Linked DNA regions of Tribolium castaneum. The protein of the gene in region 2 interacts with the protein of the main gene of each other region in a pairwise test. Links are inferred from orthologs where the notes say so. Each region holds a gene or a part of one and is shown on either strand. Other genes may lie near its edges.

Region 1 (2,653 bases), on a different chromosome or scaffold from region 2:
CGCTGCGAATACGGTTGAAGATACAAAAAAAGTGTAAGGAACAAAGTTGTAGAGAATTAAATTTCCTACAAAAAAGTCCGCGATACCATATTTCTATCTTTAACGGTTTAGCTATAAATTAACTCTCCGATACTTGGCAACCGGTAAAATGAAACAAATCCGTCGCTTGAGCGTCTTTGGACCACTTTGGGGCCAAAATGGTTGAAGATATGGATATGGTCTCGCGGACTTTTTTTTAGCAAATTCAATTCTCTACAACTTTCTTCCTTACACTTTTTTTGTATCTTCAACCGTATTCGCACCGTTTTGAAAAATATGGGGGAGTGCAAATTGGTAAAAGTTTGACATTTTTTTAATTACAGTTTACGATAAATTTTGCTTATGTTGAGAATTTAATGCTTCATCTGTCTGTATTTTTTGTTTTACTAACATAACCAAGGAACAACTGCGCTCTCTGGCGACACTGACGGAACTATCGAGAACGGAGCGTTTTATTTGTACGTCGTTTCGTATCCTAACTTTTAGACATCCGTATCATAATTTAATTGATTGATTTGTTACAGAGGGAGAACTTTCGTTCGACGGGATTGATGTGTATAGTACTAGTGAACTTTGCTTGTAAGATCAGCTCAAAAAAGGACTAATAACTGCCGACAATTTATTAAACTTAACTGTTTCATTCAATTTTCCCATCAGTCAGTTCTTGCACAGCCTCTCTTGCAGTTTATTTATTAAGTCAATCAATTGGTTCATTCAGTACTGAATGCTACAGTTCAGTTAATAGAAGTGCTGATTTTTCAGCTACTTGTGTACATAGATTCAATCTTTTAACCATGTGCTTCCTTTGAAATATGGGTAAGCACATCAATATTGTGAATTATATATTTCTAATACAAAGTTTAATTACATATTTTTTACCCAGTTTGCGAGACGTGTTTTAGGTTTTTTACTATGTATCCGCTTGTTGTTATCATTTTGATTCGGAACGATCCTTTTTACTATTGAGAACTTGAACCGCCAAATAAATTGTATAACTTAACATAGTTTAATAGGTAATAAATGAATCGTCAATTTCTATAGCAGGTTGCAATATTTTCGGATTTCTGTAGGCAATTGGACGCATTCTTCATGCTCATTTCATTTTTATATTACATTAACAGAGCAAGACACTGTTTAATTCAATAATAGAAAATAAAATGTTATTTTAAAGTCTGTGTATCATTTTTTTACCAACTCGAAAACGTGTGGCGACACTTGATTGAACTTTATTAAGCCAGGATGGCCAACTCAAGCAGTCATTTTGGATGACTTGCTACTAACGCGAAATTCCTATTATTTTAAATTATTAAAGGAATTTCAAAAGACTGTATTGAGAGTATCAATAATTGGGTGGGAGCAGCAAACACGCACAATTTTATTTGTAATTTTATTAATCATTTTCGTGCGTTACAGATTCTACAGTAGCGAATTTCTCGCCTGAGACTGACAATAAACCTAACCCTACAATTCCACATTTTTTATTATTCACCGTTAAAAAATGGTTAAAGCGGCATTGGACCCCCTCGTGAATAAAACCCTCAACATCCGTTTATTCCACAGTGTTGAGAACGTGTCCGACTTGCGTAAAAAAATAATGTCAGGTCAACTTGAGTGTTGTCTCGTAAACCCCAAGTTGATTGTGGACCCGTTCCAGTTAGTCGTGGCCGCAAACAAGGCCCTAACTGCCAAAAACCGCACCACTAAAACGATTTTCACTGAAATTTTATTCAATTTGTCTGTATCCAAACACATAACGAAAAGTTTGCAACAGTTTGGGATCACTGACGACTGTAGAGACTTGCTGGTGGTGACTGTCGGCGACGACGACAGTCGCGTTCTTTCTGAAATTAAAGGCACGGAAGTGGAGTTGGGGGCACTTGAGGAGATTCGGGATTTGGGCGCTGTTAAGAAGGCTTACAAGATTGGGCCTGAGGAAGGGGCGACTAGCACTATTGTGGACTCCGTCGTCAGTAGGATAGCCACTAAGGATTTTATCTCGCATTGATTGTATTTAATATTGATAATAAATTATTAAAAAAGCTCTAAAAGCTGTTTGATTTTGGTGTTCCCGCTCGAGTGAACGAAAAACCCTAACAGTTGGTAGTAAGATGGCAGTTTTGTTGTCGTGCCATGCGTGTGTAAATTTTAGGTGTTGATTCCGTTTTTTGATGTAATCGTTACGACTTAAATAAATCCCACTTCACAACTCCTAAAAAACCCGAAAACGCGGCTGAAAACTATGACAGAGTTGGGTGTCAACGGCAATGACGAGAAAGACAGTGACAAGGAGGCTGTCTCCGACAAGGACCTGCCCCTGAGCTTCATGCAAGACAGGCACTTGGAGCCCATCGAGGGCGTCGAGTGCATAACGCAGACATGGCGCATGAAAGAACGCGTAACTGCAACCCGCCCACAAGTTGCTTGTTTTAATTACAAAATTCCAGATGAAAACAGTGAGTGTGGCCCTAGTTCTGTGTCTGAACGTGGGCGTGGACCCGCCCGACGTGATGAAAACCCAGCCATGTGCGCGTCTGGAGTGCTGGATAGGTAATTAGGTCGGCATGCGTTCGCGGAATTCAGGTCGTGTTCCAGATCCCTTAACCTTGTCCGCCCC
Region 2 (2,774 bases):
GGTTTGGCATCACGCTGGTCCGGGGCAGATCGCCAGTGTGCCCCGATGGGCGCGTGAGTGTTTACCGGCTGTGGTACGGTCCGAAGAACAGTTTCTCTATGTTTGTCATCTTGTGGGGCCCTTTTTGCAACGGTTTAACGTGGCAATAGTGGAATTGACGAGTGCTTTGTACGAACTGTTGGCACAAGTTGACCACGCGCACAGCGAGTTGAAATATATGGACCCGATCTGCGATCTCTTGTACCACATTAAGTACATGTTTGTGGGGGATAGCATGAAGAAGGAGTTGGAGACTGTGGTGCGCCGGTTAAGACCGCCTTTGCAAATGAGGTTGAGGTTTATCGCACATTTGGCGATTGAGGAAGTTAATGCATCGTAACTCACTTGTATTATGTTTTTACATTTACGTAAATACATTTTTATAAAAAAATAAAAAACTTAATCCGATTCACTCTCCCTTGAACTTGGAAAATCCGGTTTCGCTAAAACAGTTTGTTATTTAATTGGTAACATTTCGTCGTTACATACCTTGTTTGGCCAATTCTTGCTGTTTTTGCTCATTTTCTATATATTTGGTCTGTTCGGCAATCACCGATTGGCTGTCGCTACAATTTGAATATACCTCCAATATATTTTTATTCAGTTCGATAAATGAATGTCCCCACGAAAATTTATCTAAATACTGCCGAGCTAATTTTTTGTATCCGGTGATGTACAAAGTTGCGGCTATCGCTTCAACGCAACTTAATTGGCAAGGTCGCCCGTAATTGATGGGGTTTGCGGCCACGAGAAACGGTAATAAGCGCCCATGTTGGGGCTTGAGTGCTGCAATGGGTGTCTCGTCGATTCTGGCCCATGAGCAGTCCACCACGGCTACCCCCTTGCTTGAAACAATGTCGCGATCATTGGGACTTACGCATTTAGTGCCAGTCGGGGTTAATACCAGCCCTGGAAATTTTTGTTTGACTTTTAGGGTTTTAATTAATTTTAGACGCGATAATTTGCGGCCTGAACATTTCTTGGGGTCACATTGATTAAAATCCCACATGGCAATGGGAAAGTCGGGTACTGAAATATCATTTTAAGTCTAGTTTTTGGGGGCTGTGACGCTACCTTCTTCATCGCTGCTTTCGCTACTTGAGTCATCGGAATTATCAGTCGATGATGAATTTATTGTTGCGTTCTCAAGGCTCTCCTCGACAGAAGTCATGCTTTACTATCAAGTAAAAAATTAAAATGCGACTATTTTTTAGGTTAGATAACATAACCCATAAATGTCACGTTCAGTTGAACGTGTGAGTAGAATTTTTTGTTATTGAGTAATATTAATACAAAAAATTGGAAATTGTAATGTCTTAGAGTAATCAGTGTAATGGAACGATAAACATAATTGATCAGCTCGTAATTAACAATAAATATTTACAATTACGTAACCTCACTTTTTTGTGTCAACAGCAAGAGTGAAAACTGGAATTAGTTAAAAACTACTGCAAATGGAAGGGTTCGAATTGTTCAGACAAGGTGCCGAGGGCCGAATCTTCAAAGGAGTGTATTTGGGAAAACCCGCAATTGCCAAAGAACGATTCGTTAAGAAATACCGGCATCCGGATCTTGACTCACACTTGACCAAAGAACGGATAAAAAGTGAAAGTCGTTCAATAATTCGGTGTAAATCTGCCGGAATAAGGACCCCCGCCTTATATTTAGTTGATTTCAACCGCCGTACTATTTTTATGGAGTACTTTGAGAACAGTATCGTGGTCAAGGATTTCATAGCACAAGCAAGTAACGAAGTTATAAGTAAGTTGGCGTTAAAAATTGGGGCTGTGTTGGGCAAAATGCATGCCAATAGCATCATTCACGGGGACTTGACAACATCAAACATGCTACTTGTTAATAAAAACGGACAAAAGTCGTACAGTAACTTGCAAGATTTAGAGCTGATTTTTATTGATTTTGGATTATCTCACGTAGAGTCTAGCGCTGAAGATAAAGGGGTTGATTTGTACGTGTTGGAACGAGCCCTTATCAGTACACATAGCACAGCTAGTGAAATTTTTGACCAAGTTTTGGAGGGCTATAAATTAGAGAATAAGTCAGGGTTTAAGGAAGTTTTGGCTAAATTTAAAGAAGTGCAAGCTAGGGGCCGGAAGCGTACAATGGTTGGTTGATTCATTTATTTATAATCTTGATAGCATGCCACCTGCTACTACAATTGTTTCCCCAGTCATGTAACTGGCGTCGTCTGATGCTAAAAATGCAGCTGCGCCAGCTATTTCATGTGGCATTCCCATTCTGTAAAAATAAATTCTTTAACTGAAAAAACTCAATTCGTATTGCAATAAACCTTCCCATCGGAATCATTGATAAAACTTTCTTTTTGTCTTCCTCTTTCTCGACCAGCTATGATTCAAAATGTTATAACACAATAAAAAATGTTTTTGCCTCTTACAAAGTGCGAAAACTTGGTTTTTATTAAACCCGGGGCTATGCAATTAACGGTGATATTTTCTTTAGCTAACTGGGCTGCTGCTGTTTTAGTGAGTCCAAAGAGTGCACACTTGCTCACACAGTAAGCCCCAATCAACTTGAACAAAATTTTAGCTTAAAGTTTGAGTACCTAACTGTTTTTACATCCAAAGGCTGGAAACCACCAATGGACGAGATGAAAATAATTCGACCGCAGCTACTTTTGCGAAGTAACGGTAAAGCTTCTTTCGCTAACATGAAAGCAGCTTTCACGTTTACATCGAAAATTTTGTCCCACGCTTTTT

What was found.
Region 1: the proteins of Tcs5 (region 2) and EKC/KEOPS complex subunit Tprkb interact in binary tests that used the Homo sapiens proteins (3 or more experiments, as listed by UniProt). The link is inferred for Tribolium castaneum from reciprocal best matches to the Homo sapiens genes TP53RK and TPRKB.

The regions. Positions count from the first base shown.
Region 1 is NC_087399.1:3,468,614-3,471,266, reverse strand, and holds EKC/KEOPS complex subunit Tprkb, read left to right. Parts: upstream 1-1,288; 5' UTR 1,289-1,398; intron 1,399-1,452; 5' UTR 1,453-1,537; coding exon 1,538-2,044; 3' UTR 2,045-2,088; downstream 2,089-2,653. Other genes in the region: Arpc2 (probable actin-related protein 2/3 complex subunit 2), read left to right, coding at 564-591; raptor (regulatory-associated protein of mTOR), read left to right, coding at 2,279-2,434, 2,484-2,586, 2,632-2,653. UniProt on the Homo sapiens protein: Component of the EKC/KEOPS complex that is required for the formation of a threonylcarbamoyl group on adenosine at position 37 (t(6)A37) in tRNAs that read codons beginning with adenine.
Region 2 is NC_087394.1:35,200,262-35,203,035, reverse strand, and holds Tcs5 (EKC/KEOPS complex subunit TP53RK), read left to right. Parts: upstream 1-1,493; coding exon 1,494-2,171; downstream 2,172-2,774. Other genes in the region: MED23 (mediator of RNA polymerase II transcription subunit 23), read left to right, coding at 1-379; uncharacterized protein LOC658853, read right to left, coding at 439-482, 529-1,068, 1,114-1,210.